Linked DNA regions of Rhinolophus ferrumequinum. The protein of the gene in region 1 interacts with the protein of each later gene in a pairwise test. Links are inferred from orthologs where the notes say so. Each region holds a gene or a part of one and is shown on either strand. Other genes may lie near its edges.

The links.
Region 2: the proteins of IQUB (region 1) and TMCC2 interact in a two-hybrid assay, tested with the Homo sapiens proteins (2 studies listed by BioGRID and IntAct). The two-hybrid records come from large-scale screens. The link is inferred for Rhinolophus ferrumequinum from reciprocal best matches to the Homo sapiens genes IQUB and TMCC2.

The regions. Positions count from the first base shown.
Region 1 is NC_046309.1:20,957,377-20,973,800, forward strand, and holds the start of IQUB (IQ and ubiquitin-like domain-containing protein), read left to right. Parts: upstream 1-7,545; 5' UTR 7,546-7,628; intron 7,629-12,751; 5' UTR 12,752-12,755; coding exon 12,756-13,227; intron 13,228-15,263; coding exon 15,264-15,398; intron 15,399-16,424. Other genes in the region: NDUFA5 (NADH dehydrogenase [ubiquinone] 1 alpha subcomplex subunit 5), read left to right, coding at 545-646. UniProt on the Homo sapiens protein: Adapter protein that anchors the radial spoke 1 (RS1) complex to the A microtubule of outer doublet microtubules in axonemes. The triple radial spokes (RS1, RS2 and RS3) are required to modulate beating of the sperm flagellum.
Region 2 is NC_046305.1:25,948,885-25,965,843, reverse strand, and holds the start of TMCC2 (transmembrane and coiled-coil domains protein 2), read left to right. Parts: upstream 1-9,287; 5' UTR 9,288-9,539; exon of another isoform or gene 9,540-9,671; 5' UTR 9,672-9,764; coding exon 9,765-9,971; intron 9,972-10,308; exon of another isoform or gene 10,309-11,034; intron 11,035-16,959.

The DNA.
Region 1 (16,424 bases):
GGTTATGAAATCAGTTAGGTGGTTTGTAACTAGCATTTAAAAACTACAATAGAAAATAGTGTATTTCAGCTATATAGTAAAGGTAATGATATTTTTAGTTTTGTTTGAGTTATATGTGCGAATTGTGGATCCCTTAGTAAAATGTATTTCTTTTCTTTTTTTAATTGTGGGCCAGGGTAAAATAAAGTTGGAGAGCTATTGATAAAGATGAAGAGACATACTTTTGATCCTCCAGAATTTGTGTTCTGATGGTGAAACAGACAATTAAGATTCAAAACTCACCAACTAAACTTTTGAACACTCTTATAGTAAATTTTAAACAAATAGAAGAAATCTAAAGCTGTCCTTCCTTTTTTATGGTGATTGCGTAGCTGTGAGAATTACAGTAATTTAATTAATGTTCAACATTTGATGATGGAGTAGCTTATTTAGGTTTTAATGTGAAAGTAGGAGCTCTATATAGTTACATTTCAGTTATTATCTATGATAATTATCTATTAAACAGTATAATCAAATGATCTTTTTAAAAAAATTTTATTAACAGGCTGAAAATGAACTAAGTCTGGCAAGAAAAATGCTACAATGGAAACCATGGGAGCCTTTAGTGGAAGAGCCTCCTGCCAACCAGTGGAAATGGCCAATATAATCATGATTAAATGACTTGTGTGTTGACAGGAAAATGATATAATTAAATGTTCTGTTGTATCAAAAATGTTTCCATGTTATTGACATCTTATAATCAAAAAAATTGATATAAACATATTTAGGAGACTTGTTAAAATTGATGATTATGTAATAGGAACTTACGAATCAGTTTTGGTTTATAGAGCATTCATTCAAATTATTTCAAAGATGATATTTTTTTCAAACAGATGTGGGAGATTTGGAGGTTAATTAGAAAAATTCCTGTAGATTTCAACACAGAGGCCATGTTTGAAGTCTGAAGTATTTTTAGTATTCAGCACATCATTTAGTGTTTTTTATTCTGAAAAAAAAAACAGAAAGGTACTTATTAGTAGTAGTAGTAGTATCATTATTATTATTATCATTATTATTGCTTATATAGGTCATTGTTTAAAGTGAAGTAGTAAGAGTAAAAACCGTTAAATTAAGAGTGCATTGTACAGTTGAGGAAATTGGTATTTGAAAGATTGCTTATTTATAGTGGTACCGTGTTTCCCTGAAAATAGGACTGGGTCTTATGCTGATATTTGCTGCAAAAGATGCATTAGGGCTTATGTTCAGGGGAGGTCATCCTGAAAAGTCACGCTAGGGCTTGCTTTCCAGTGAGGTCTTATTTTCGGGGAAACACGGGAGTTGGAAAAACTTTTGTCTCATTTAAGAAGTTAGCTTTCTGACCCTCGCCTTTTAGTTTTCTTTATTAACCAAACTACATCAAGATAGAAAATTTCTGTAAAAGAGGAGATATTAAAAGTTTCTAAAGTTTATCTGGCATACAGATAGACTTACATTCAAAACATTTTTGTATAGTTATAACTTGAAAGTGGAAGCACTAACTAGTTTTCACTAAGTTTCCAGTATAAGTGCACCTGGATATCAAAAAAGATAAAAGCTGTTCAAGGAAAGAAGCAGTTGACAAACAAAAATAAAATTACTTCTTGTGTGTTCTCACCTTTTCTTCCTAGCCCCCTATGATTTCTAAGTATTCTGCTAAATTTGGTATTTCTTACCTTCAAAAATAGTACTTTTGGCCGGGTGAGGGGGGCGTGCACGCACGCATGTGTATCCTGCTATTTCTTGTGGCAAGGCAGAATCTTTCAGAATGAGAAAAATAATTGTATTTTCCCCAGTATATTTCTCCCCGTATAAAGTTGTAAATTAAATGCTAAATAAATATTAAATGAAGTGGGTTTAGTTAACTTTTTAGCAGTCAGACTATAAGAGAAGGCTTACGTGGGGGAAGTGGGAAAAGCATTGGAGGGAGAGTTGGAAGGCCAGGGGTTCTCATTCCCATGGTTCTGGCACCGTCATGAACTCCATGACTAAGTGGAGGTAAGTTGTCAACCTCTCAGAATGCCTATTTCTTTCTCTGTAAAAGAAGTAGAATTTGTGATTTTTAACTTTCTTTTTGGTTATAAATATTCGTTTTAAGACATAATTCATTAGATTTATTAAGAAAATAATATCCTAAAGCATGTTTGCATAGATGCTTTCAAGCTAATTTTCTAATCATTTCTTTCAGTCCTTTGGGCACATAAAAACAAAGCTGGCTTGATGTGTCTTTGTCAGTACTTTCAGCCCACTTCTCCCATTATTCTCGGGCATCTTATATAGAGCGTCAGTGGCTGTTAATAAAAGGGGACCTTATTGATGTCTGCATTAGAAATGCTAGTTATAGAATAGGAGGAGTATTAGCAATAAAATAATAGCCAATGTTTGTTAATGTTTGTCAGGCAGTGTTCTAAGTACTTGACTAATGTTACTCATTAAATCTGCACTCCAGCTCTAAGACTGCGATCCTGCAAATTATCTCCATTTTCCAGATAAGGAAACCAGAATCCAGTGTGAGTAGTGCTCCCCTGCAACTGTGCAGCATGGGGATCTTGGAGAAACTAAAGCACAGAGATGGTATAACAACGTACCCAAGGTCACATAGCTATTAAGATGTGGAGCTACATTTTGAACTTGACAGTCTTGCTCCAGAACTCATCCTTCTCACCCTTACATTTTGCCTTGTGAATACTTGGGATGCTGGCGGTCCTGCCTGTACTGTGTGAGCTGCACCAAAACAACCTAGATCCTGCTCTCCTGACTATCAAAAAGAACACATATGAGCAGGCGTAGTAAACTGGACTTCATCTCGTGCGAACATCTTCACCTGGATCACAGGCAGCCAGTGGTGTGTCTGAAGGGCATTATGGTCCATCCTTTTACATTTACTGACTGCCATTCTAACTGCCCATACATCCGGACCCCTTCAAATGCTTTCCGGTTGCTTCCTGTAAACTTCCCGATTAAGCTTTCCTGATTAATTGGAGATGATTCTTCTATTTAAAGGTCTTTAGTGTTGTTAAGTGGCTTGTAGACTAATTTGAGTAATTTTCAGAATGGCCCATTTCAGCTCTCCCTAGGTCCATATGTTTTATTCAAGTTAATTACATTAATTACCATACTCCAGATAGTTTAAAAGAAAAAGCTAATGCATTTGAGCTTTGTAAACAAAGAAAATGGCAGCAAAATAGATACCCCCTTTCTTCTAGCTGTGGATTGAGTGCAGAATATTCAAATTTCTGAGTATTCTGTTCTTTGGGATGAAAATGACTTGTATCTGAATAACCATAAGACTTTTCATTTAAACTGTAATGATTTCGATTGTGAAGGGAAGTGATAATTTCATAAGGATAACAGGTTTGATGTTATCCTGTCAAAGTACCTATAAAGAACAAATACGAACAGAAGTAGTAAACTGGATTGAGACACCAACTTGGAGTAAGGTTCAGCTCTGAGGGTTGCCATCCTTTATACCAGGCGAAGTTGGAGTAGTCTGTCACCTGAATAGAATGAATATGATGCCATTAGTGGCAGCCATCATGTGCCACCAGGCCTCCGGTTTCACTGGGCCCCATCACTGTTATTCTCCTTGCCTTTTCCTCAGATTTGAGTGATGGAAGACGCTTATTCTGATTGTCTTACTTCTTTTTCTAATCCTAAAGCGCAGTTAGCAAGGTGAAGCTGAGCTTTTTGTTACAATGCAAAGCAGGTTTATTTGCACGCAGAACAATGAGGATTAGGATACCAGATAAAAAGGAAAGCAGTCTTTCATCAAATGGAGATCAAGATTCTTAAGTAGCTGACTTAGTACAGTGGAAACTTGCCCTGTTGCCTTTAGAAGTTACGTTTCCTCACCTGATGCTTCAGCAAGCATTTCAAAGAGGTCTTCCCACTGTTCCAGTTCTTCTAATTCCATCTGACAGCCACAGTGGTATTCCAGTCAATCTGTGTTCTTCCATTTTCCCAGGAGTTCTTCTATGAAGACACGAGTTCAGTTTCACTATTCTGAGAAACCAAGACCTCCAATCTTGCAAGACCTTCCTTAACATGTTCTCCAACAGGAGTTGACTTTGGAGCTTGTATGCCATTTCCCCAGTTACCTATATCAGGCCTCATGCTTTCTTTTTCAAAGGGAGAAAACCAACAATATTCTGTATGAGAAAACTCGCACATATAGGCTAATACCAGCTTTTTCTTCCCAGCCTCCATAGTTAATATAAAGAAACAGAAGTTAAAGAACCCTCCCATACAAGTGTATTATAAGGATCTAGGGTAAAGTGCTAAGTTGCTGAACCATGAATGCTTTTTGCATCTGAGGGCAGAATTTCCTTTCAAACTTGGCTCTCAATGGGATTACAACCTGTGCTCCAATAATAGTAATACTCTGAGGAAAAAAGTAAATGAGAAGATAGGAGTTTGGAAGAGGATGAAGAGGTTTATTTTAAAAAGAATTCACAAGAAATGAAAGTGGGGATGTGACACGGGATTTGAATTATTGATGGGTACTGGAGAAATTTACTCCATTCTTTATTTAGAGGTAACAAGCGAAACCTAGTTAGTAAAAAAAGTAGTGAGAAAAGTAATGAGTTGGCATAGGCTACCTGCAAATCCCACAGTCTTAACACAAAGAAAGCTTGTTTCTTACTCATAGGAGTGTACATGTCTAATGAGGGTTGACAGTGTTCAAAAGAGTCACAAGGGATCTGGGCTGAGGATGGCGCCATGTCAACATGTCATGGGCTACAAACACGGGCAGGAGAAAGGGAACGTGACACATCACACACAGAAACAAAAAAGAAAACCAAGTTTAAAAAAATTTTGAATGTGCTGTAGAACTCAAATTTATCTTGCCATGCATTGCTAATAATGAATTTTCAGAGATCTTTAGGTTTATATTACCAGCTAATTTTTTGCAGTGTGTTTAAATGTAATTTAGGTGGAATAGGTTTTTTCTGTATATGACTCTGTAAATGAAAAGCATTGCAGAGATTCTTTTTTGGGATTTCTCATGATCTTCAAATATTTTTTCCAGATAAACATTTTAGGCATTTATAAAGATAAACATTACTATTTTATGACAGAATATTTCGTTTTACTCTTTTGTTTTTCTTTTCCTGTAACAGGAGAGTTGGTTCTTTTACTCAGGGTAAAACAGATTGAAAATTTCCTATTTAATTTCCAAACTCCAAATATGTTGAAAACAGAATATTTTTTCATAACTCATTGGATGTAAAGTCTGACCAGAATTGTCATAAGGCTATTAGTAGTCTTTATCCTACTTTAATGTGAATATGAATATATTTTGCCACATAACTACTAATGTATTTGATTCTGCTTCTCTGATTCTACTTCTCCAGACTCACTGAATGTGTGACAGAATACACCTTTTAAAAATGGGAAAAATCCCAATTTTCAAACACATCTGTCCCTATGATTTCAGAAAAGGGACTATGGATATACTGGCTATTTCCAGTCTCTTAACAAGCTCCTGATCCAAATTTATGATCCAAATTTAATACATATAGATAATTTCCAAAGCATAATTTTAAGTCCTTGGTTTTCTAAATTCTAATATTTTTTCCTAATTCATTTACATCAAAATACATTTTAGTCTGAAGTAACAATGGGAAATACTTTGATATGCTTGATTTCATAAAGCCACTAGGTAGCATCTTTGTAAAAATAAAATCACATTAAGAGAAATGTTTATTTTGTAAATAAGTGCTGAGATAAATAAAGACATGTTTCGTGAGAAACATAACTTATTTGGGGCAATAAATCCTGAGAAAATGTACAGGTTTATTGTGAAAAGTAAATGGAAAGTGATATAAAATTACGTTTCCACTTTTAGAATGGAGAGTTTTTCCCATTGGTTGTTTTCAGCTTGCATTTACATTCATTTTATGTAACCAATTAACTACAGTATATATTTGTGTGTGTGTATGATTTTGATGTGCTACAGTAATAACCAGAATGGACTATCTGGGAAGCCTACCAATTAAGTTAGGCTCAAGTGGTTGTTTAAAATCATCTCCACAGAAAACTATACATAAAACGTGAACATATCGTGGGTATCTAGTCACATTTAACACTTTGAAGTACTTAAATTTCTTTACCACCTTGTTTTCTTCCTTTCATCTTCTGCCTCTATGCCTAAACCTAGTTTTTTTCATACTGTCCCTAACGTGGAAGGCAGTGGATGATAAATTTTAAAGAGGAGACCCAGAAAGGTGAATGTTTAAAACCAATGGAATTCTCATTACTAGTAAAATTAAGATATATTGTGGTTTTGGAGATGGGGGTGGGGGTGTGTTTGGAAGCACTTGTCTGCACACCTCTGATCACACCTGCTTTACCCATAAAGGACTAAACCTAGTGTTTATCTGAATGGTCCTTTCCCTCCTTTTGTCTGGTCTTCATAAATATGGATTCATGCAGTGATTTAAATACATTTGCTTTATTTAAAATCATTATTAAAGCCAGTTTTATCTGAATATAATATGTATTTTTCTAGTAGTATATTTTAAAGTAGGATGAAGACTGAAAAAATGACATTGGACATTAGGAAGTTACTGGGAGATGAGAACGCAATTTCAGTAGAATTGATACAAAGGAGGGAAGACATTGAACATTATGAAGGAGGGATGGAACTGTACTATATATAACAACATTTTTAATTTTATTATTTAATCTTACAACCTTTTTAAATAGCAAAGGATGTTAACCAAGGAAGCACAGAATAGTGGTTTAAAATTGAGGCTCTGAATTCAGACTGCTGGGTTTAATCCTGGCTCCCTCACTAAACCTCTAAACCTTTTCCTCATTAGTAATGTGGGGCTGATTAGTTTTCCTTAAAATCATTGTAAGGATTAAATTAGAAATATAAAGTGCTTAGTAACAAATAATAAATGTTAGCTATTATTATGAAATAGACACTACGTTTGTTACTACATTTGCAATAGGAATATAACTTTCCCCCAATAGTTTAAAAACTTCAAGTTGAATAATTTATAGTGATAGGAAAATAAAAAAGCCTTTATAATTTAGTGATTAACAAAAGCTATGCTTCTCCTGACTTAAAAGAGGAATTTAGTAGCTCCTGTCTCCCTTTTCTCTTTGGATGCCAGGAAGCCAAGAGACAAGTTCTAAATTTAACAAAAATACGTAGGTACCTACTGTTGTGTTGTGTTTTCCTTTGTCAGTCTTCACTCTCATTACATATTTATATTTTCTGTAATCCTGATTTTTTTATATCTGTAAGGGCAAATACAGTGTTTGGCTCGGAGAACTGTGCCCTTTCACAAGTGTTAAAAGGGATCTCGCAGAGTGGTTAGAGTCCAATAATTGAGGTCTAACAAGTAACAACACTCCCCGCCTCTTGCCCCGCCCCACCCTCCCTCTCTCGCCGCCTGGCTCCGCCCCTCGCCGCCTGGCTCCGCCCTCCCTACCATTCCAGCTCGGGAAACGCCTATTCTCGCGGGAGCGGTGCGGAGGCGGGAGGAGGTGGTGCCACGGTCGTTGCTGGGATACCGCCGGCAACAGACTCGGAGTGCGGACGCTGCTTTCTAGGAGCTTGAGGAAGCCCTGCGACCGGCGTAGCTGCGTGTCTTGGTCAGGTAGGAGGACAGAGCCTGGCTGCCCTCTGCTGGCTCGGCCTAGACCGGCCTGGAGTCAGTGACTGCAGCAGTGGACGCCGAGGACCGTGTGCCGGGCGCTTGTCCCGCCCGGACTCGGGACTGCTTGGCTCGTCGGGAATGTGCCACTTGTACTTTAAAATCCGTGCACAGCATCCCTTCTTTCTTGGTTCCATTTCTGGCTCCGCAGCTCTGATTTGGGATTCGGAAGCAGAAGCAGCAGCAGCAAGCTAGGAGGCGTACCTCCCCTCTCACCCCTGGGGCTTTTCACCTTCATAGTGTAGCAACAAGATGTGTGTGTAACCCAGACCTGGCATTAGACAATGTTCAGCCTTCCATGGTGACCGTTTTCATTCTTTAGTAACTAGAGGGCTTACAGACGTGCCTCACTGGCTCTCTCTCCCTCCTCTCCTCCCGTGGTCTTTGCTGTGCCGCTTAAAACACTTTAAAACTCACGCCTTTTTTTGGTAGAAGGCAGAACTGGATCCCTGCCTTCCTACTTACACTAACATTCTAGATCTGCCAGTGACATCATGCTTTGTTGGTGAAAGGGGGACTTTTCTGTATGCAATCATCATAGAGACTGCTTTGCCTTTTTAAACAATTTTTAAAGATGAAAACATTTATTTTTGAATAGATGATACATAAACCTGACAAAAAGTGAAACAGTAAAAGGAATGAACAGTGAAGATCTGCTTTCCACCCAAGCACTCCCCCACCGCGTCGTCCTCCAGTTCACCTTCTAGAGAAAGTCTGTGCATGTACGAATATGTCCTACTGGTGCCTGTAACACTGTGTTATACATGCCGGCCTGTGCTGTTGGAGGCCATCAAGAGGATGGGACTGGGTTGACCCTGGAACTGGACGGAGCATTTGGAGGTTCCTTACCCCCTCCACTGCCCTTGGAGGTTCTGCCCACGGGTCCCGTCCTGTAGTAGCAGGTGCTTCAAGGATGAAAATAGTCCTTGAGAGAGTAATGTGCTGTTGAGACCATCTGGTCTGTATTCAACTCAGCCTGGTTAAGGCCTCTATATAAACTCTTAAGATTTTGGTGGGGATTGCAGAGATCTACTTACTCCTTTTGCAGCTGCCCAAGACAAGCCTCCTACGTAAATTCGGTAGCTTATTAAAACTGCCACTTACTAACTGGAGTGGTCTGCCTCTTTTTTCAGTTTCTCCTTCTCTTACACGGGGGCAAGGGGCAGTTTCTGTTTTTTCACCCCAGGAGCGCTGGCGGTTGCTCACCAACAGCTTTGCTCCTTCACTTAATTGAATCAGATGGTATGTAGCCTTTAGAATTGGCTTCTTAGCATAATTCAAGATTCATCCATGTTGTTGTGTGTATCAGTTTATTTCTTTTTATTGTTGAGTAATATTCCTTTAAAAAAAATAAGTTTCTTGGATACTTTTTTTGGGGGGGAACATTGGGGAACTGTGTTTCTCCAGGGCCCATCAGCTCCAAGTCAAGTTGTTGTCCTTCAATCTAGTTGTGGAGGGCGCAGCTCACTGGCCCATGTGGGAATCGAACCGGCAACCTTGTTGTTAAAAGCTCGCGCTCTAACCAACTGAGCCATCCAGCCTCCCCAAATAGTATTCCATTTTATGAATGCATCACAGTATGTGTATCCATTCATCAGTTCAGGATCATTTGTGTTTCAAGTCTTTGGTGATTAAGAATAAAGCCTTTATAAACTTTTGTGTACAGGTTTTATGTGAATGTAGTTTTTCATTCCACTTGGGTAACGACACAGATTGCTGAGTAATATGAAGTGTATGTTTAATTTTATAAGAAAACTGACAAACAGTTACCCCAAATCCTATGCCAATTTTCATTTTCACCATCAAGGTATAAAAGCTACTTGTCTTCGTACTCACTAGCTGTGGGGATAGAATCCCAGAGAGCAGTTTCCAGGCTCTCGGCCTCACATGGAATGGGTGAGGTGGCCAACAGCTGGGTGTCCATCAGCTGTTACTGGTTAGCCATTAGCCACTGATATAACTGCCGTGGGTAAGCTAGCAGGGGTGGATTGCAGTAGCAAGGGGTTGGTTGGTTGGCAGAGAAGCAGGCGGCGGGTTGCGGCTAGTAAGTGGGGTTAGCAAGCATGGATGGTGGATTACACATCGTGTGGATCCTACTTCCTGTGTCTTGCCCGGCCGCCAGCGAGACTGGGGTGCAGGAAGACCCCGTGTTGGGGCGCTGGCAGATGTTTGCTTTTGTGTCTCTACCAGCCGCCAGCAGGAATATAGTGGTATGAACCCCCATCCATGGCTCCGTTGGTGTTCCTTTTTGACCTCACCATATCCTGCGTTCTTGTGCGGGGAGTGGGACCAGAGTCCCTGGATGAGCCCTTGATATTGTTGGACTGAAAAAATATATTAACTATTGTAATAGGTGTGTAATGGATTCTCATTGTGATTTACGTTGTCTTTCTCTAATGTCTAATGACATTGAGCATATTTGTTCTCTGGGCCAGGACTAGAGTAAGGCAATTGAGGCAACTAGGTCCAAAATTTTAGGAGGCATTTCTTCTCAGTGCAGCACCACTCTTGCCTAGATCTGGCCTTGCTTATTTGCCTTCTGTGTATATTCTTCGGTGACGTGTCTTATTGAAATCTTTTATTTTTTTAAAAAAAAACTTTTATTGAGTTTGAGAGTTTTGTATATATTCTGATTATAGGTCCTTTATCAGATGAGTTTTGCAAATATATCTCCTACTCTATGGCTTGTCTTTTTCGTTTAGTTGTGTCTTTTGAGCAGAAGTTCTGATTTTGTTGCTGTTGCTGATTTAGAAGATTCCATCTTTGCCATTTTAGAGGGATGATGGCTCGGCAGATAGAGCCAAACAAGAGCATTACTCCAAAAAAGGGCAGATGAATCCGTTGCTAGGAGTTAGGGCTTCTTTACGATACTCTCTTTCTAATCAGGCCGTAATCTCTGTTATGGGAGAAAATAACAAAAAGGAACATTTTTTTTGTGGGTGAAGGCTTAAGAGCTTTCTTGAATTTTTTTAAAAATTGAATTTTTGTTCAGTTTTATCTTATTTCACTTTTTTCCTTCTTTATTGTCTTGGAATTTTAAAACTTTATTTCAGTTATTTTGTTTGTTGTACTTGAAATTTAACTATGCATATTTAATTTAACAAAGTCTAGGGTTAAGAATATCATATCCCCCAATTTTGTAAACAGTATAAGGATTTGAGAACTGTTTATTCTGATCTTTCTCTTCCCAATTACATATTTTGTCTAATATTTTAATTTTCTACTATTATTTTGTGTTGACAATATTTGTTTGGGTTTATCCATATATTTATGATTTATTTGTTCACCTTTCCTTTTTGCTCTTCGGATTTCCTTTGGGCCTATTTACCTCCTCCTTCAAGTGTATCCTTTAGAAGTTCCTTTACAGCAGATATCTTGGTGGTAAGTTATTATACCGTTTCTATTTCTTTCTTGAAAGATAGTTTTGTTGGGTACACTATTTTAGGTTGATAGTTGTCTTATTCACATTGTTGCCTTGGCTTCTGTTTTTCTGATGAGAAATCTGCAGTGATTTTACTTTTCTTTGCTCTGTATTAATGTCAGCAAATTAATATAATTCAAAACAGTAGGTGGTATGTGCTTTATCACTGTTTGCTTTCTGGACCTCCTCTTTGTTATTCTGTAATTTAATTACAATGTATATGGCTATGAATTATTTTTATTTATCCTGTTAGGTATAGATTTATGTTGTGCTTCCTGAATCTGTGGTTCTACATTTCTCATCAGTTTTAAAAAATTCTCAGCCATTACTGTTTTAAATATCTCTTTTCTTCCATCTTTCTGTTTCCTTCTGGGACTTTAATTTGACATATGCTCGATTAGGGCCTGGTAGACTTTTTCTGTAAAGGACTACACAGGCCACATGCAGTCTCTGTTGCATATTCTTTGTTTTCTTTATTTTAGCAATATAAACCCATTCTTAGCTCACAATAAGATATATGCTTAGCAGAAAAATATACTGCACTTTTTCTCTTTTCAATGGCTTCTAATCTCTCATATTTTCAACATCCTTATCTCTTTGAAACATTCTCTATAAAAATCTCTTTATTTATCTTCCAGTTTACTCATTCTCTCTTCGACTCAATTCATTGAATTCAACACCTATATATTTTTATTCCATATACTCTCTTTTTTTTTGGTAGTCTGTCATCTAGTAGCCAGAGAACTTCACTGACTAAGGTTAATTTTTTTTTCCATAAGGATTTGTGCTTAAAGTAGAAGCCCCAAACACAGCTTCCCACCTCCCCCCCCAACTACTGTTCCAAGTTTTCATCTTCCCCCCTGCTGGTTGCCACAGAAATCAGCCTGGAGGCCACTCCCTCTGTACCCCCTTCCTGGCTGCTAGCTTCTGCTGGTAGCTGCCTGCTGACTGCCTCCTCACTCCTCTGAACTGCTCCTGCCTCTGCAGCTTGGTTCTGGGCTGCCCTGGGCCACCCTGACCCCAGCCCTTGGACGCTCACTGTCACACTGTTTCCTGAGCCACAGCTCTTGGTTGCAGGAGCTCAGACCCCAGTCAGCTCTAAGATCAGCGCGCATTTGTTTGTTGGTATATTTGTTTTGGGGGGGACAGAGGTCATTGGAGACCTCTGCTACCACTCGTGCGAGCAAAGCTACTTCAGGGAGTGTGTACTGCCTAGGATATAGTTGCTGTGTGAACTGGCACGTTCCCTGAGCTTCCAATCAACTGTAATGCCAGAGCATAAATCCTGTGCTAGTTTTGTAGTCAGAAAACAGTTATTCGAAAAGTCCTTCTTTCACAAACATTTACTGAATAAGGAAGAGATGACAATATATTTTAAAATAGCTTTCAGTATGTCCTTCACAGAAGAGTTCTCTCAAATTGTGCTTTGAATTTCTCTTTTTGGTGTATTTTTTTTACTTTCTGTCGTGTTCTTATTAAAAATTCACTGATGTTTTTACCTGATGACATTACTAAGATAATCAATATTAAAAAAAATAATGAGCACCATTATAGTATATTATGAACATTACTGTATGCCAGCATTGAATTTGATATTTGGTGTAGAAGTTTTTATGTACAGTAAAAATTATGTTTCTCAATTCAGGAAAATGTCTGATCAGGAGGAAGAATTTACTGCTCAGAATATTCCTGATGCGCCAGGAAAAAGAGATGGTGTTTATGAGACGATCACTATTCCAGTTCCCTCAGAAGACCTTCCCGAGTCAGATCAAACTGAAGACAATGAGTCTGAACCAGAAGAAAATGAGCCTGAACCAGAAGACAGTGAGCCTGAACCAGAACCATCTGGTGGGGGCCACGAAGTGCGTTCAGAGGCGCAGAGTGACCAGAGCGCTTCAAACCTGGAGATAAATGAGGAAGAACAGCTTCTGGAAGAGATTATGTTACCTGAACAAGCTCTGGATTCTCCAGTATATTCTGAAAAGCACAGTCTGACTCAGTTGGATAATGCAATACAGTCAACCAAGCAGCAATCAGACGATTACCATCTGACATTTCTGGATAAAATAAAGGCTGTAAAGGAATCTCTGAAAACATCAATGCAACAGGCCTTAGCAACAGGTATTACCTAGGGAAGACAGGGTAAAGCTATTTGTTTCCCTCATTTTGAAGAATGGTTGCTTTTTCTTGTTTGTTTTTGCTTAACGATTGGTTTTATGTTTGATGTTGCTTTCCTTTTCTCTATCCACCAAACTTCTCCAGCTGTACCACTTGAATCTCTTCACTGTGTGGGAAGCTTGTCTATTCTCCAGTATCTACTCTCCTTAAATAAGTGAGCATCTTTAAATTTTAAATGGATATTCATCTGTTTTTCCCAAATAACGTAGGTTTTAAAAATGTGTAGGGAGCTTGGGAAAAGGTGGACAAATTCTTGAGTATAATAGTAATTTTTTTGCATGCCAGTTTGGAATTAATTGGACCCAGCTAGCAAGTGGTAGGATAGGAACTTCAGACTTCCTAGTTTCCTGTCCAGTGCTCATTCCACAAACCATGTTGCTTGTACATAGTTCCAAATTTGTGTGTAATGTTACCTTATATTTATCTTCAGAAAAGCTACTGTCTTTCATTAGAGGTTCGTTTTCAGGATATGATGTTGATGGCATGTAGCAGTTACTACTACATTGCTGGTAAAGCTTCAGGGGGAGCTGCAAGAAGGCAATTGGTTACACAGGGAACCATCCTATGTGCATGGTTATCTGACTGCTCCTACCCCTTGCCCTCAAGTTTTGAGAGAGTTTCCATTCACAGGGTGGAGAACATGGGCCATCGGTTCACAGCAGTAACAGCAGCTTAATTTGGTAAAATGTCGCTTTTGAATCCAGTGGGGTAGTTTACCCTGGTGTGATGTGTGCACATAAATAAAGCGTCAAAAGGAGGAAGGAGAAGAAATTAATCAAGCTCAGTTATACATAACTGAAGCTGTTAATCTTCAATTTCTCATAATTATTCAGAGTCAATTTGGACTCCATTTTTTGATATTTCTGTGATTCCCTGATATTATAGCTTGTATCAGACACTTGGTGGTTTAAAAAGTTGTGTTGGTCCTGTAGTTCCTGAGACTCACACATTCCCTAATCCCCTGCCCCTTCCCAAAGCTTAGGAAGCCACTGCTATGAAAATTTTAAAATATATTTATCATCGAATTTTGAATCCAAAAAACAGTTAAAGTAGCATTTTGATAGTGTAACCTCTGTGAAGGTATTCTTTCTGTTGACAGGGAACTATGAAACAAGTTTTAACAACTTTGAAGTACCTTAGCATCAACCATGCCTATTTGAATATCATCCTGGGACTACCGATAAATGTCTCGTTTAGCTTGATGAAAATTGTCATGTCAGGCATCTAGAAATACACAACACTTTTTTGGCCTACAGTGTGTACTCTATACTCCATCTTACTAATTGCTTCTTCTCCATTAAAATTTGAAGTCTGCAAGATCTAAAAGAAAAGCTTACCCCATAAGAATTAGTTTTCACATACTATATTTCCTTCCTATAATTTGTGAACAGATAATCTTTCTACAATAGCAGTTTTTCTTTGTTTTTAATGTGTCTTGATTTCCTGTTTCATAAAGTGGGGAGTGCACAGGTCATGCACATTTCTAAGTTCAGGGGCCCTCCAGGTGTCAGGGTCTCCTTTTCTAGTACACACTACACAAACATGCTTGGTTTTCTGCGATGTTTTCTATGTTTGTATCTGAGTAATATGTAGCAGATATCGGGGATCCTTCAAAGCAGTGTAGCTTTATTTTCTATTTCTTGTGGTAGTCTGAATGAGGAGGTAATCCTGAATATGCACCGATCCTCATGCCAGGGAATTAGAAGAGAGATCTGAACTTGGAGCCAGAGTTGGGGCAGCAGGTGTTCAGTTCTTGAGATTTGAAATCAATTTTCAAAGCCAAAGGTTGCAACTGAATGTTTGTCACTTCTCATTATGGAAAATGAAAAGTAACTCTTGCCATGGAAGTGGGGTAGGAGAGCGTGGCAGAAACAACTGCATTCTATGTGATTAAAAATTGTCCCATAATTTTTTATCTGCTTGTGGGCTGTAGGTTGCTGACCTTTGACTATGATTCTTTTTTCCTTTTTTTCCTGCAGTAAAAGTTGTACTTCTTCCTGTGGGCCAGGAAATTGTAATGCGTTTTAGAATTGACACTATTTTAAAACACCTCAAGGATCATTTTGCAAACCAACTAAGTGTCCCAGCTGACGTACTGCAGATAAGATGTGCAGGTAAGCTTGGAGGCTGATAAAACTTATCAAGACCTCTTTAGTTTTACGTGTAAATTTGATTTCATTAAACTGTCTTGATGTTTACTGTTTGAACATTATGTTGTGGTTATGCATGCATTCATTCAATACATTGTTATCGGGGACGTACTTTGTTCTTGATACTTTGCTAAGAATTGAAGATATAAAGAAGCATGAAACAAAATCCCTGTACTCATGTTGTTTAACTAACTAGTAAGGAACAAGATGCACGCAATAGTTGCCACACAGTGTGTAAATGTTTTAATGGAGATACGCACAGGGAGCTGTGTGAACAGGGAGGAAACTGGAAGATCCTAGAAAGCTTCATTTAGCAAAAGTGGTAAGCCCCAGCGAGGTGAGAAAAACTGGGACTTTAGGGAAGTGGTAAGAAATTTAGTGTGGCTGGAAGAAGACTACCTGTGGGGAATGGGAGGAAATGAGGTAGAAAAAAGTAGAGGATAAATAAGCACGTATAGAATAAGAAGAGGACTGAAAATGGGTTATCTTATCAGTCTCTTCCATACGTTAAGTTCAATTGACATATCCATGAGATTCAAGTTTATATTTTGCGGGTAGTATTTAGCAGCCCACTTTGTATTAGCTTTCTTCATGAGAGGATGTAGTCTCTGTACCACTGATAGACTTAATCAGACTAACATAGCTAAATAAATGTTTCTACAGAATGATTGCACAAATACTAATATTTTAATTTAAAAAGTTCTGGTATTAACTTATAAAGGTGCCACAAAACATTTCCAGGGAAATAACTTTGTGTGTGTGTGTGTGAAAATCCTAAGCACTCAATAAAATGTAGTAACCCATTACTTACCAAGGCCCTCCTCCTTGTCAAATCAGAGAAAAACAATCGGTTTAATTTCAAAATTATTTTCCGAAAACCATTATAATGAATATGCTCTAATAGTATAATATCTGTGTACTCAAACAACTGATTATTAAATCTTGGTTGGGGAACCAAAGCTAGAATTTAAATAGTGAGAATGATAATAT
Region 2 (16,959 bases), on another chromosome or scaffold:
GAGAGAGAGAGAGAGAGAAAGAAAAGAAAGAAAGAAAGAAAGAAAGAAAGAAAGAAAGAAAGAAGAAAGAAAGAAAGAAAGAAAGAAAGAAAGAAAGAAAGAAAGAAGAAAGAAAGAAGAAAAGACGGGCTTGGAGTCCAAGAGACCTGCATTCAAATCTTCGCTCTACCGTCTTCCCATTTGTATGCCCTGGAGATATTACTTATTTTCTCTAAGTCTTAGTTCCTCATCTGTGAAATGGGGATAATAGTACCGTCTTCAGTAGGGTTATTGTGAGCCTTAAAAGAGCAATGCCAATTATGAATCTCAAGTTATATCAAAACAAATTGTTTTATAAAAAGCAGTATCTGACTCATAAATGGTGGCTGATTTTATCAATTGTGTTATTATGACAAATTTGAATTCTAATCCTGACTTGCTACGTTACCATCTTGGGCAAGCTGTTGGCTTCTCTGAGTCTTGGTTTTCTCATCCATCAAATGGGATAATGCCCAACTCATAAGGTTATTTTGAAGATTAAAATGGGAGGAAAGTATAAAAAATGTTCACACAGAGCCTAGCACATAGAAAGCGCTCAATAAAAGGTAACTGTGAGATGGTGTGATTGCTATAAACCTAGGTTCTAATCCTGGCTGTGTAAGGGAGAATCCTATGATTACGCTCAACAGCAATCTGTTATTGGGAAGATGGAATGAGCCATAGTAAATGAAAAGTGCTTTGGAAGTTAAATTTAGAGAAAACCCTGAGAGTCAGAGAGAATCTGACCTGAGTCGCAGTACTGGCTGTGCTGCTGCTCGCTTTGTGATCTTAAGCAAATGACTTAGCTTCTTGGAGCCTCAGTTACTTCATTTGTATAGTGGAGCTAATATCTACTTCACAGGCTTGTAAAGATTGAATGACATAATGTGTAAAGCAGTTGGTACCTTGCCTGAAACATAGAAGTGCTTAATAAATGTTTTCTTTCCTATCTATAGTAATTACTCACATTCAGGATTATACATTTTTCCAAGGAGGATAGTATTTCCAAGAATATTTTGTTTTTTGTTTATGAGATTCTCCACATGAAGTTTTATTAACTCGATGATCAAAGGTCTATAAAACTGAACTGCTAAATGCATTCTATTTAATTATACATCAAGTATCACGCCAATGCTGAATATTTCATCGGTGGTATCCCTGGCTGTTAGGATGCAGAACATGGGGAGGAAACACAATCAATTAAAAGGAATTTGGTGTAACCCCAGAGATAATCTTTGTTTTACTGCCAAGCAGAACAACAAAGTTTCCAGAAATTTTTTAGAGTAACTGATCCAAAGCTTTCCAGAAGAAGTCCTGAATATAGTTTTGCCACAACTCATTGCTTATCAGTAAGATTAGAAGATTGATATTGCTTTTCCAAGTCCAAGTGGTTTTGTGGTTTTGATTCTTTCTCCGCTATGTTGCCTTACAGTTTAGTGGAACTGATTTTTGGGTAATTTTCTTACCTGCCCAGCATATAACCTTGCAATTTTTATCTCTCTGGGCTGATTCTGGATGGAGGAAGATGAATAGATGAAAACCTGCCAATACCGTTTTCTATGTCACCGTTGTCTTGGTAGAGGTTTTCTAGAAGATTCTGAAACCTGACTTCTGAAACATATTCCAACTGGCTTAGTATGTATCTATCCATATGTGCCAAACATAATGCCTGAAACAAAGTGTGCTCAATATATGTCATCTGAAAGAAAACATTTCTTTCATATCATCTTCCTGCCTACCCCCTTTCTCATGAATCTAGCTCTGAACAGAGATGGTTTAATGGAAGTGAGGATTAGGATTCTGAAGCAAAGGTGGATGGAAGACATCCTGATCGTGAGAACATTCCCCATCCCCAAATTGTAGAGGAGAGAGGGAGCTCTACCTAACAAGCTTCACATAAACATCTAAGTGCTTGGAAAACAGGCCCTGGAACCTAGCTAAGCTACCTTCCGATGTGTCAGGTGACATCGAAAATGGTATTGGCAGGTTTCTTCTATCATTTTCCTAGAGCTGATCGCAGAAGCACTGATCTAAGGGCCTTCTCAAAATAGGGCTTAGTAGAAAAAAAAAAGATAGGGCATAGTGATCCATTTAGGAAAGTTTCCAGATGACATGTGCACACATCTCCTGCATAGGAAACTTGAAATTTTTTAAGGGTGTAGAGAAATAAAGGAAAAAATAGTATTAAATCTAAAACATCATAAAAATAAATTCATTTCAAATAAAATTTTCAGTAGTCCAATATTCTAGTGTAAAACTTAACGGTTCTTAGCATTCCCTTCCCACGCTTATCCATGGTTCATCCAGATTTTATTCATACAGTTTATACCATCTTTAATTTTTACAACCCTGAAAAGATGGATATTTTTATCCCTGTTTTATAGACAAGGAAATTGAGATCCATACAGCTAATAATCCAGGTTCATCAGACTCCAAAGCCCTTATTCTACTCGTAGCTCAATGCAGTTTTACATTCTAATGTTTTCAATTTACATTATTTAAAGAAGGCTTTTTGTGTTTATGTGTATTTATTATATGTATTTCTCTTAATAGCAACATAACATTCCACTGTATTATTATGCCATTCACTATTCTTGGACATGGAGGTTGTGCCAGATTTTCGTTATGAACATTTTTGTTTGTTGTGTTGTTGCTTGTTTCCTTTTGAATTCTTTTCCAGGATAATGCCCAGGAGGGTATTATTGGGTGAAAGGGTACAGACATTTATATGGCTTTAGCTATATATTGCTGACTTGTACTGTCATTGCATCTTCAAAGAGAGTACTATCTTCTTTCCCCAGCACCCTGTGAGAGGTACAAGGCAAGGCTGGGTGGATTCACCCGTGAAAATAGCCCTTTGTCTCTCTTGCTACTTGGGTATGCCCCAGGCCATCTGAGACTCCCTGAAAATGACTTATAAGTATGCGTGCTCCAGAATGAGATCTCACATGGGACAGTGTGATTCCCTTTCCCAGGAGAGGCTTCCCTGATTAAGTTGTCTTTTTCTCTTTTTAGTCACAAGATCAGCAGAAGGTTTTTCAAGCAACTGACATTTCCCTCTTGATTCAGACTGTAACTCTCATTCTGTGTTCAGAAAAGTTCTGATAGCTGTTAGAAAGGAAATCTAGACTCCAACTCATGGTGTGCCATTCCAAAGTAGGTGCAAAATGTTAGGATAAATTTCACCAAAGAAAGGAAATCCCAACAGTCAGACCTGTAAAAGGTTTTAGGAACTGGCAGGAGGAAGCAAAAGTGAGGAAAAGCCATTCTAGACTAAGAAAGCTCTGTTCCAACCGGTAGAAGGTAATTTTGAGATACATATCAATGTCTTTGATTAATGTCTCTGAATTTGAGTTATCTTACATGACAAGAGTACCATTTGAGGGTATTGAAAGGTTTGGATTGAAATTATATCACATATAATAGGCACTCCATCCCTTGGCAAAACTGCAGTAGGCATTGTGGGAAAAGTACAGACATTGAAGACAAGCAGAACTGGTTTGACTAGCTCTTTCTAACCAGGTGACCTCAGGCAAGTTTTTAATTGTCTTTGAGCCTCAGTTTCTTCTACTGTAAAATGGAGGTTACGATACTTACCTACTACATTCATTTTACAGACTAAATGTGAGTGCGTGCCAGGCATACAGTCAGTGCTCAATAAATAGAAGATATTATTAATTCACAAATCTATCAATAAATGTGATCAACCAAGTATTCCCCTATTCCTGTGTAGTGTTTCTCAAATGTCAATGTGCATAAGAATCACCTAGGACACTTGTTAAAAGTGCAGATTTTCAGGCTCCATCCCCAGAAATTGTTTCCATCAGTTTGGGGTGGGACCCGGGAATCTGTATTATCTACCTAAACTCCAAGGTGATTTATGCTGTTGGTAGCCCATGAACCATACTTTGAGAAACACTGTCCCGTGGTCTCAAAAAATAAAAATAAAAACTGTATTTCCCATCACTAATACACCATAAAATCCTTGTAACATGCAGATGTAAAATTAAAGAGATTCATATACTGAGAGATTCTATATTCAAGATGATTTATATAGTTCTTACCTACGTAAAGGCTTCAGAATCATCCTAAAGCAACATTCTATCTTTTCAGCAATCATGGTAAGGATGACTGTGTGTAAATAATTCTTCCTTAGAGTCATCCTAATGAGATGACAGAGGTCTCTCTCCTCCGGACTGTGCTAATTAATTATATCCCTCTCAGAGTGTTGACAGACATTACCATTTCAATCTTGTGCTGTTGTTTTATATTTCATTTGTCTCATTTCCCCAACCGGACTTTTTAAAATAGAAAGGCAGCGACCAATGTCTTTTATTGTTCTCTACCTTCCACAGGCATCTTGTAAAGCTTTTGTACGTGATATGTTTCATAAATATATTTGAATGAATGCAGGTTCATTTAACTGTAGACTAATACCCACTGATAAATTCTTTGTCACAAGAGTGGGTCAGAATTACAGTCAAGAAATGATGAGATATTAGGCCTTTAGGGTTGGAGACAGAGTACAGTGCAGATCTCAGGCCTATGAAAGTACTATAATCTTTCAGAGCCTGTTTCCTCTTTTGTAGAGTGGGAATAACACTTGCCTTTGTAAGAGTTGTTGTGGGGATTAAGTAAGAGAGTTCACAAGGTTCCTAGCAAAATGCTTACCATCTGTGGTTCTCTTTAAATGGTAGCTTCTTGCTCTTATTATAGCTAAAAGTGCCATATAGAATAATAGATGGAACTGACACTGATATTTATCTTCAGAAGTAAAATAATAAACAACTGATTCTCTCTGAGCAAAGCTATTTTCTTTCTTTCTTTTTTGCTTTCTTTCCTCTTCTTTCTTATTTTTTTTAGGTCTAGCATTTTTAGCTTTGAGTAACAGATTGTCCAGAGGTTTGTAAGGATTCCCTATGCAGATGGGAAAGGACACAAAGCAGCCATTTTAGCAGCCCCAGGCTTTCACACAGAGCAGTACAATCAGGGTTTAAGTTTATGCCTCACAAACCTCCTCTGTTCGTGGTCACGATGATTGTGACTTTTCTCCGATTACCGAGGAGGAACAGCATGCAGAATGAGGAATACGCACCCTACCTGAAATGAGAAGCAGGAACTTCCAGCTTTTTGTAGTACAAATAGGAGATTCACCAGTGCGGAGTCAGACAGACCCTGGGGTCTCCTATGCAGGTCTTAGGGATGTTGTGAGAGAAATGGTCACTAGAGGGGCACTTTGTTTGTTTCGTTTAGTCCTTTAAAACATTGACAGGTACCAGAGATTCTATGCTGTGGAGGAATAATATATACAATTTCTGAATAAAAATAGTAATTACAGTTTTATTTCTGAAGTCAAAAAATTGAAACAATTCTCTAAGGATAAGGTGGCTAGAGGTTAAATAAACTGTGGTATATTCACCTGATAGAATGATAAACAGTCATTTAAAATGGAAATATGACCAAGTTGTAGCAAATGGAGTAACATGGAAAAATGTAATAACATGAAAAATGCTTCTGAGTACATTTTAAGCAAACAACAGGATAAAATTTGTTTAGTCTCAGAGCTAGCTCCAACTCAGGAGTGAAGGAGAGCCCTCCCAGTCCTGCCTGCCTCTTACAATAGCCAATAAAAAGCCTGTATTTTGGTGGTGGGATTGTGACATCATCAACAATCTAACCAATCTCCCTGACGATTATTTGCATAGTTTATTCCTCCTAATCCAGCAGAACGCAATTTCTTTTAAGGAGAGCATTGAGTGGAAGTGGAAATCTCCAAAAGAAAGGGAGGAAAATCACATTAACAAAGGAGTATATTTAATGATGTTGGTATCAAAATACAGTGATCCAAATTATTATATCTAGTCTCTCTAGAGAGTGCTTTCACCTTCTAAGGAAAACACTCTACGTAGTATGTTAAAATAGTTCTTTGAAAACTACCTACTCATTTGATGTTTAAAATTTTTTTTAAGAATTCCTACAAAGTAGGAAACAATTTTCTTGGATAATTTACAAGCCTCTTACTATTGGCAAAAGGAAGGCTTTTATTTCTCAGACTTAATTGCTTTTACAAAACAACAACAACCCAAAACCTACTCCTTGCTTACCTGTTGATCTTGGCAACTTATCCTCTATTATTAAAACTTAATCAGTTTATCAAGCTAAATGAACTGGCTGTTGACAAGGGAACAGGATTCCACAACCCTGATCTTTGCCTTCCTTGTTTATACAATTTACTGGTTTAACAAATTTGATACCACCAGGTGTGCCCCCTTTCATTAGCCTAACTGGGATTTCCTTCCACAAATAGCATTAAGTTTAGTAGGACAATTCTGCCTTTCTCATGTGGCAGACAGGGGGTTAGACACGTTTGTTCACTAACTTTGTTTCATTCAAGTGTACTGGGCACACACACTATGCGTCAAGCATTTTCACATGCATTATCTAGTTTAATCCTTACAATAACTATGTGAGGATAGGTAATATTAGTCCCGCTTATAGATGAGAAAACCAAGGGTGAGAGAAGTTGAGTGATTTCGTTGCCCAAGAACACACAGGGAGTAACAGAACCATAATTCTTACATGTATTTCTAACCCCAAGACCAGTGTCCTTCTTACTGCACCATGTTATTTATTTGTAATTAACTAGTGGTGCCAAAGCAGAATGGAAAATCCTACTCCTACATACCAAATGTAATCTCTTGCATTGTAAATCTGCAACGTTTTGTCCTATCTTGAACATCAAAACATAGTATGTGCCTATATTTTTCCAAAGAAGCCTAAAACAATAGAATGATCAGATCCTTTAAACAACATTTCAACCAAAGTCCTTTCAGATTCTGTTTATCTTAGGTACTCAAGAATTTACTATGGCTAATGAAAATGTGCTCTCAGCTTCAAACTCTATATACTTCCCACCCAAATTCCTCAGCAATTTGTTCTATAATATGACACTCAGTTAAAGTCAGTAATGGGTGAGATACATTTAAATGAATTCCCAAGGATAGAACCATTGGAGTGGAATGTGTGATGCTTTTGAAACTGGATGACATCTCTGATTATAGGTATGGCCCTCATTCTGTGCCAGGCAATGTCTAAGTACCTTACATATGTTACTCAACACCCTCTAAGGTTGTCTAAGGTATCATCAGTATTCCCACTTCCAAATAAGGAATCTTGGGCATAAAGAGGTTAGACAACTTGCCTCCAATGGTCAGTAGAGAGCAGAGCCAGGATTTGTCCCTAGCAGTCTGGCCACGAGAGTCTGCCTCTCCTAAATGGAATGTAAAGTATTACCTGATTTCATGAAACACACCACAGACATTTTATTGACCTGTATTATACCTTGCTAAATATGGCCACAAATAGGAAATTTGGCCATCATGCTATATATACATAATATAAAAACCAAACTTGAGGCCAACTTCAGTCTAGTATAGAAATGAGGCATAAGTCAAAATTTAATGGTCTCCACTTCCTTAAATCTTCACACCGATTTCCTCCACTTTTTTCAGCTTAGAGGCAGGTCATAAACATGTGCTCACCATTGCTGGCCACTGCTTGATACCCAAGACTCGCCTGGAGTCTGTGGGGCTCCTCCACTTCTCAAGGCCAGTCAGGCAGCAGACACCTGTCTGACATCTTGCAACCTGGGAATCTGCCCCCACTGGTTCTGTCTAGTTCTGCCTCCTTCTTCAAGGCATTCTGCCTTTCCCTCACCACTGAAAGTGCTAAGGCTCATATCTTGTGTTTCTACATTGTGTCTAACACTGTGTAGTGGATGTGGGGGGTGGTTCTACATTTCCAGCCCATCTTCAATTCCCATCTTCTAAAAATGGAGCTGCCTAGTTTAGAAAGTAGCTTGCTTGACTGAAGTAAATTCTTAACAATTTAGGCTCTTTTAGGATACACATCAAAATGAGTGGTTGGAATGGGAAAAAGACAGAACAGAGTCAGGAAACTCACAGACTAGTAGGACTGAAGTGAGGTTAGAATAGCATGATGGGTGTAAAAGAGATAGGTAAACTGTAAAATGCTGTAGAGATCATCACTGTGTGACTCACTGACTAATGGCTCCTTCACTACAGTCTAGGCCAATGGTTCTCAAATGTTAGCTTGTGTCAGAATCACCTGCACGACTTGTTAAAACAGATTTCTGGGCCTACAATTTCTGATTCAGTAGGTCTGGCTGGTGTCTGATAATTTGCATTTCTATCAAGTTTCCAGGTGATGCTGATGCTGCTGGCCCCAGGACCACACTTTGAGAACCACTGTTTTAGGCTGCTGGATGGGCAAAAACTCCTATCCCCAGTAAGCATACAGTAGGCACTCAGGGGGGGTTGTTATTATTAGGCTCCATACTTTGATAACCCCAGTATTTGTTCTCTTCTGCCTCCAGATTACTCAGTGCAATTTGGCTGAGATTTATGGGAAAAAGAGATTGCATTCTTTTCCTTCTCTGTCATATGTCTCAATCTCCTGCCATTTAATACCCTTTCTTATTTAAGAGCTGCTTCACAGTTTGCAAGGAACTTTCACACACATTATTGTATTCAAATATATTTAATTTGTCATTTCTGAGCATCAAGCTAAGATTCATACTGGAGTTACTTAAAGTGGGGAAAGGAGAGATGGGGCAGAAGAACACCTCCACCCTTTGCATTTGTAGCGCTGAATATAGCCAAAAGTTTGTGTTTCAGACCATGTTTCCTAGAAAGGATGGGGTCTTCCTCATTGAAGGGATGTATAGTATAACATGAACTGAAAAGTTAGAGCAAAAAAAGCAGTGATGAGAAAGCATCCCTACTGAGCCCCCTACCCACCAAATAAAACGAGTGGGTGGAGGATATCCGGAGAGTGCCTTTACCGGGAGGGTCCCTCCGGCATCTGTTAATACCGGTCCCGGGTGGCCCGCCGCCCCCGCCTCAACTCGGCAGCCGCTCTCCGCAGCGCAAACACGCAGCAGCACAGTCCTCCAGTCCTCTCCTGGGGGCTCACGCGGCGCAACCAACCCTAAAACGTGGCCGCGCGACGCCCCCTCGGCCCTCTGGGCTTCCCATTGGCCCACTGCCGTTGTCACTCCCTCCTTGCCTCGCCTTCCCCTTACCGGCATGTTAGGTTGCGCTTGCCGCTGGCTGGGGCCGCGACCGCTGCTTTGCAGCAGGCAGAGCGCGGGTGGGGAGCTGGGCGCAGGGATCCGGGCGCGGGCGGGGAGCTAGGGGGCCGGGCTCGCGGCGGACTCTGCGACCGGCCCATGCGGGGCGGGGGCCAGGGGCAGGGCCGGGGGCCGCAGCCGGCGCTGAGGGCGGCCGCGGAGGACCTGCCCGGCCGGCTGCCCCCTGCCCTGCCTCGCCCAGAGCCCGGGCAACCCGGAGGGATGCGCTGTGCCTCCAGGCTCCCCCGTCCTGCCTATGCCCTGAAGCAGAAAGTTCGGGGGCCAGGGACCGTCCTCCTCCTCCCGCTCCAATGACTGCCCAAGGACTCCTGCTGCCCAGCCTCGGCTGTGCCCTGCCTTCGCTCCCCAGGTCGTAATGAACTATTCCAAGCTGTAACCAACGCTCCCCCTCCTCGCCCCTTCCTCCCCCTTCTTTAAAAAGATTTATTTTTTAATTCAAGAAATTGTCTTCCGCCGATTCCTTTCCTCGTTAATCATTTAGACCCTGGGCCTCGTTTTTGAGTGTAAGGGGGTGCGGTCTCCCCGAGGACAGCGCTCTAGAAGGGCAGAATCCCCTGGCCGCCCCACATACATCATGAAGAGGTGCAAATCGGATGAGCTGCAGCAACAGCAAGGCGAGGAGGATGGAGCTGGCCTGGAAGATGCCGTTTGCCACCTGCCGGGCGCGGAACTCCGGCCTGGGGAGGCCACGGGTGCTAACTCTGCTGGCGGGCCAACTTCGGACATGGGCGCTGCGGTGGCGCCAAACCCGGGTCCCCGAAGCAAGCCTCCGGATTTAAAGGTGAGCACAGACCCTCCCCTGGCCAGCCTAGCCAGTGACTTAGCTTTTCCCGCTCAACGCAGAAGTGCTTTAACAGGATACAAGTGATGGGGAAGCCAGGCAAAGGTCAGAGAGGATGTTGGGCCAGAACACTGGGCTGGACGTCAGGTACCATTTGTGCCTCTGTCGTTCAGCTCCATTTCAGGCCTCTGTTTATTCCTCATTATTCAGCAGACATTCTAGTGACTCACCCATCCGAGATTGTTTGAATGATGTGTGTGAAGTACTATTCTCAGACAAAGGGCTGGAGAAATCCAAGAAGCTAACTAAAAAGTTGACATCACTTTCCCTCTTGTAGGATGATAGGAGAAGAAAATGACAGCGTGGAAGGCCAAGCAGAGGACCATTAGTTTCCTTTGCTGTTTTAGTTTCCTCCTTTTGGGACCTTCCTGGATGAAGCTCAGTTTGTCCATCTGTGAAAGGGGAGTGTGGATTTCTTGCCGTTAGGTGGAGCCAGAGATTAAGCCAGTGCTTGAAGATCCCTGCCTGCCTGCGGAACCAACCCCCAGGGTGGAGAACTGACAGGTGGCCGATTGGTGCTTGGGCTGGTTTGGGGCCTCGGTTCAAGTTGCACACATGCTGAGCCGGCAGTTAGAACCAGAAGCGGAAAGAGCCTATCACAGGCAGCTGGGAGTTGTTTATTTCCTGGCCTGAGGTTGCCGGGACTATTATGGAGCTGTATTGAATATGTCTCTATATTAATTAAAACAGCAGCTGGGATAAATAATGCACCTTTGCTGGAGCTGCCACAGGGACTGCACGCTCAGGCTTCTCAAGCCAGCTCCCCACCAGCTTGAGCGACATGATGTCAGCCGGAGGAAGGAACTTAGATACCCTGGAAATTGATGCCTCAGAGAGATTTTCTCCAGAGGGGGTGCAAGGTCTTGCTAGGGGAGCAAAGAACTCTGTTATGTTAAATAAAGCCTGTATCCTATAGCAGCAGCCACTAAGGAGCTCACCAGAATAAGCCAATGACATTCCTCATTTGGCCTGAGCGGCTCAGAGTCAGGAAGTCAGAGCGCAGGTGAGTGTGCTCTTAACCTGTGTGTGTGTGTTACCTGTTTGTGTTCCTTGGGGAGAGGTGAGAAGGGGGACAGTTAACTCTTTGTGCGTACTTTAAAAAATTGTAGTAGTTATTCAAATGTGACCTCTGGTTCTGCTGCTGCCCTTTTCAGAGGTTCGAGACTAGCCTTATGTCTAAAGATGAGCTCTGCTGGCTAGGCTGTAACAGGACACTTGGCCCAGCTGTCACCCCTGAGCCCACCCTGTGTGCTCAGGTGTGGGTCCTATTTTAAATGAGATGGTAAAGGGACAGGGGTGTCCTTAATGCTGATGTGGGTAGGGGCCAGCCTTCTGCTGCAGACTTCAGCTTCATTCTGGGTTGATTCAGTTGAGTCTGGCCAGAAAACCCTGATTTCTTGACCAGATGGGACCCTCGCTCTGAGTCCATGAGGGGCAGCCTTGGAAACTCCTCATGCTCCAGCTCTTATGACAGCTCTAGTAAACTGCCAGCTCCATTCATTTTCCCAGTTCGGTTCCCTTCATGAGGATAGGTGAGCTGGTTGTGGAGTGGGGGCTGCAGTGTCTGTCTGTGTAGATAAAGCTGCTTGAAGAAGCTCATTCCCCTCCACCCTATATCATACCTCTGTCTCTCTCTCTGGTGACACCTTCATTCTGGTTGTGGCAGTTACAGCAACAACTCTACGCTTGATATTAAATACTGAACTTCCCTGAACCAGAATTAAGACCAGGTTTGAGAAAAGGAGTCATACCCCCCACTCCCAAGAAAACATACCACCAAGGTTGATCACTGCTATGTTGACCCAGGATGGCAGCTAAATGGAAAAAACATAGCTGCTGCCTGCTCAGTGGAAGCACCGGGAGACTGGGGGGGCTTTTCCCGTTTATCTCTGTCAGCTTTCTCACATGTTTACAGGGTATGGACTTCAGAACAAGACATGAGCTTAGGGGCTATCGCAACTTGATTTGCTGTGTGATCTCAGGCAAATTACTCAACTTTTCTGAGCCTTTTTCTGGGGAAAGGGACTAGGAATATTGAAGTATGTCTGAACATGTTCTCTAATGCTGGAAAAGTTGTTTTCCAGTGTTTGGCACAGTTTGCTAGTGATGGAAAAATTCAGTCATTGGCTCTAGCACTGGGCAGAAGCTATCACCCCTGTTTTAGACTTGATGGTTGTACCAAAAAGGAGCAAATTTAATTTTTAACACCTCCCCACCCCACACGTGTGTTTGGCCTAGGTAGGACCAGCAGTTCTGGCTTGCTTTTGTTTTCATTTTAAACTTTGGAGATAGGAACTTTTGGTCCCTTAATCCCACTTTTATTTTCTTGTAACAGCTCTAGGCATTGTGATGGATTAAGTGCTTTGGGGGAAATCATCTTGACAAAAACGACAAGAAAATAAGAGGCTTTGTCTGAAGTACCTCCATTGAGGTTGGTTGCCGGGAGAGGAGAGAATTTTAGTCTTTGCCAGAGATCCGAATGATGCCCTCACTAGCGGCAGTTGGAGGTGCCAGGAGCTCCTATGGTCTCCCTCCATGGTCCTTCAGTGTTGTGGAGCACCCCAATCTACACTGTAAATTTCTGCTGCAGTAGCCTGGGATTTGTGATTATGGGGTGGGGCGGGCCAGTGAAAAGAAGGAAAAACAGTTAAGCAGCAGTCTTAAAAGAGCAATCATAAAACTGGAACTGAATGGGGTGGCTGGTTAGCTCAGTTGGTTAGAGTATGGTGCTAATAGCACCAAGGTTGCTGGTTCGATCCCCTCATGGGCCACTGTCAGTTGTACCCTCCTTAAAAATAAACAAACAAACAAACAAATACATAAAACTGTAACTGAAAAGTAACCTGAAAATGGACATTGCCCCATAGGAGGCTTATGCAGCTATATTGGGGGCCTTCTCAGCTACTCCTCGCACTTGGCATGACCTGGGGAGATCTCATTAGACACTCCTGCAGCAGAAGCCCAATAACCTAGAGTCACACCCCCAGTTCCTCTTTAACCCCTTGAGCCTATGTCTTGATTCATGTGTCATCATTATCCAGTCCTTTGCTGCTACCAGATTCCCTGCTACATGGGACGTATGCCATGCCAGGATTTCTGGTCACAGAGAGTATTGCCTGACCAAAAGTACACTGGAATTCTCCAGCAAGAAAACTCAGCCAGCTCCAGTGAGAATGGGAGTGGGGAGGAGCTCAGGGGAAAACTGCAGAAAGGAACATGGAGCATACATTCCTGTTAAAAATACAGCATGTTATAGATATTGCTGAGATCTAGGATGAGTGGCTAAGCATAAGTCAGCTGGTTCTATCCTGATGTATTTTAGAAGCCAGAAGACAGGGGAAGAAACCCCTGACCTCACCACCTCTCTCCCCACTTTCACCTCTCCCCACCCAACTCTGGTACAACTGGAGGAATTGAGCCTTTCCTGAAAGGAAGTCTCTGGATGTGCTGGCCAGAGGCCTTCCCTGAGGTTCTCTTTCCCCTCACGAAACCCCTGCGAATAATTTCCCCAGGGATTTCTGAGCAGCATTCCTATTTTTCCTGCAAGAAAAAGGTCGGGTTGGGGCTTAAAATGCCATTATTCCAGTCCTGGTTTAATGTGCTTTTAACCCAAGACTCACTTGGGTTCTGACTGGTGTTCTTCCATTCCCATCATATGCTGGTCTTCATGCCGATTTAGGAAGGTCAGGAAAAGCAATTAGGAGCCAGATAGCTGAAGGAAAGTCACATCTGAATTCTATATGATTCTCCCTGCTGGTGCTTCAGCCTGCCCCCCCGCCCCCCCCATGAATGGCCCGTGTTCCTTCAGCACTCCTGTAGAAAGCCCACTGGAGAAGAATCATGGGTCAACAGGCACTGAGCACCTTCAGTGGGAAAGGCACTGTTTTAAACTGAAATATGACATGCATATGAAAGTATCTGAAAAGATATGTCCACTTTAAATAACAGTAGCAAAACAGACAGCCCATCTCCCTACTGCCCAAATCAAGAAAGAGAACATTAGCATTCCCAAGAAGCCTCTGCTGGTTTTTCTGTTCTTTAGTTTTTTTTGTTTTAGTTTTATTGGGGAACATTGGGGAACAGTGTGTTTCTCCAGGGCCCATCAGCTCCAAGTTGTTGTCCTTCAATCTAGTTGTGGAGGGCGCAGCCCAGCTCCAAGTCCAGTTGCCGTTTTCAATCTCTAGTTGCAGGGGGCGCAGCCCACCATCCCATATGGGAATTGAACCGGCAACCTTGTTGAGAGCTCGCACTCTAACCACCTGAGCCATCTGGCCGCCCCTCTGGAAGCTCAACGGCAGCTCATCTTCAATCTAGTTGTGGAGGGCGCAGCTCACTGGCCCATGTGGGAATCGAACCAGCAATCCTGTTGTTCAGAACTCACGCTCTAATCTACTGAGCCATCCAGCCGCCCCTGATTTACTTTTATTTTTAAGGCTTAGGGTTTTGGTAAAATTTTTGAGTCTCAGTTTCTCCACTTTTTCAGTGGAGGAGAAGACAAGCTATTCATAGGAATGTGAGTAGGACGGAATATGTGTGCTCTGGGGCTCGAGGGGAAGTTCTGATGGTAGAGTGTGGCTCTCCGTGGCCTGGCTGCACTGTAAGGTTCCTGGTGCTACTTTAGAAGTGATATGTTGAGTCTTGAACATTCCTGCAATCTCAGGTGGGAGCTGGAGCCCGGAACAGGTTTCATCAGGGGAGGCAGAATTGAGGTAGACCTAAGAACAAGGAAATGCAAAATTAGCTCTGGCAATAAGCACTGCCTTCGCTTGCAGGTAAGCTCCCAAACATGATGAAATACTTACTTGCAAGCAAGTAATCCATTGAAGGACACATGAGTTTAAGGGTACTTAACGCATCATGCGATGAAGTCAGAAGCATACGGGGTTAATCAGAAAGATGTCCTGAGCGAGGTGGGCATAGAGCAAGATATTAAAGAAAGGGTGGAATGTCAATGATCAAACAAGAGGAGTGGGGCTTTCCAAATGGAGGAAGGGAAATGGCAAGTGCCAGGTTCTTGGTAGCACCAGCGTCCTTTTTGAGTGGAATGGTCATAGTTCAGTGAAGGATGGTGAGAATGCTGAGGTCGCCTGTTTTTATCCCACCTGCACCTAACATGTGGAGGGTAGGAGTCCTGAGGCCCAGGATTGCCCACTCTCACCCTTCTGCCTTCAGTAATATTCAGAGCAGCCCTGTACGTGGGCTCGGGAGGAACTCGTGACTGATGGGAAAGCATGTGGCAAAGGACGCTGTCTGTTCTTCTGCCACATACTGGGTTCTAGATGAATTCCCAGCTGCCTAGTTCTAGCGGGAACTGTACTGCAGACTCAGTATTCACAGAATGTCCTTTTTGTATATCTAATTGTGTCTTTTTTTTCTAATTGTGTTTTAACTGCCAATCCCATTAATAAGAATCTCTCCCCAACAAGGTATTGAAACACCTGATAGGACCTGAGTTTGGGGGTGAAGTTTAAAAGTGTGGGTATCAGGCTGGGAAAAAGCTTAGCTGGCTTCTCGGTGGTGGTCTTGGAGGCCAACTCAAAACTCATCTATTTTCATCTCTTCTCTAATAAATGTCATAGACTCGGAGGGTCATTCTTAGAATGAGGCTGACTGTACAGGGTCCATCTTTATCGGCCAAACACTTAAGACTCTCTCCATGTTAAGAAGTTAGAACAAAGCAGATATGTTTTGTGACGGTGTGAGAAAAATATTTGACTTTTCAAACCAAATGGTTAAAGGCTTTCTTATTCCAGCCAAGTTAACTGAGTGATGTCCACCCTGGAAAACAAAGCTGGCTGTAAGGACCTGAGCCCTGGCTAAGCCATGTGTGGATACAGTACAGTAAACACATTTGGGCTCCTGGGTCTGTGTTCATCTTCTTCCAAGCCAGCTCAATCTTGGCAGTTACTAAGATGATAGACAGAAATGAGGGTTTAAAATGCAGCAGGAGGGGTCTGGGTTATACAGAAGAAAAAGCTGCCTGACTGAGCATTTTGAATATTTGGAAAAGTAGTTGTCTAAGAATTAAATCATCTTTTAGAGATGCTTTTGTAGATTTTTGTAGACTTGGATAGTTTCCACTCAGAAAATAAATAAACATAATTAAGTAGCAATCGCCATGTTTGTGTTGAGGTCTCTGCCAGGTGATATTAAGGACACAAAGATATAGGTGATATATGTATAGCTCCTGCCCTCTATTCACTCATATTCTCATTGTGGATTCTGTCCATAAGCTGAATGACAAAAAAACGGTAAAAAGTTGAACGACAGTTTGAGAGCACGAGAAGCCATGTTACAAGCAGTACACGATTAATTGCAGATAATGAGCTGTGGAGTTCAAAGCAGAGTGTGCGCTCACTACGGACTGGGATGGTCAGAGAGGGCTCTTTGGAGGGGGAGGCAGAGAGAGGGCACACCGTGCAGGTAACTTGAATCACGATCTGCTTTGCTGGTGTTTGTTGAGTCTGTTCTGCCTAAAGAGCTACTAGATGAGGTCACCTTTCCTGATTTGCATTGGCTCCAGCCAGAGTTCTGTAAGCGAGGAAAGAAACGAGGAATTAAAATAAAATTGGGATTGGGGAAATCATTTGCTCCTGGTTTGAGGTCAGCTGTTATGCTGGAGAAGAAATGATTCCAAAATTCTTTATCACTGTGTTTCTAATAGAAACCCCAGACAGGCCTGATCAGCTGTTCACTCTTCCTTGTGGCCCTCAGTGCCAAACCTGGGATGACAGTTCCTGTCCTGTGCTAACCCCAGGCTCCCCAACCAAGGCTTCTGCAGGGCAGTCAGAGACTTCCGCAATCCACTTTGTATCCCGAGAGTAGGACTCTGTGGGTTTTTACAGTGATTAGCTCTCTCATGCTGGCCCTGTTTCCATAGAGACCCTATAAATAGAGGAACGTTGGCGACCTAGGCTTGCTAAGGCTC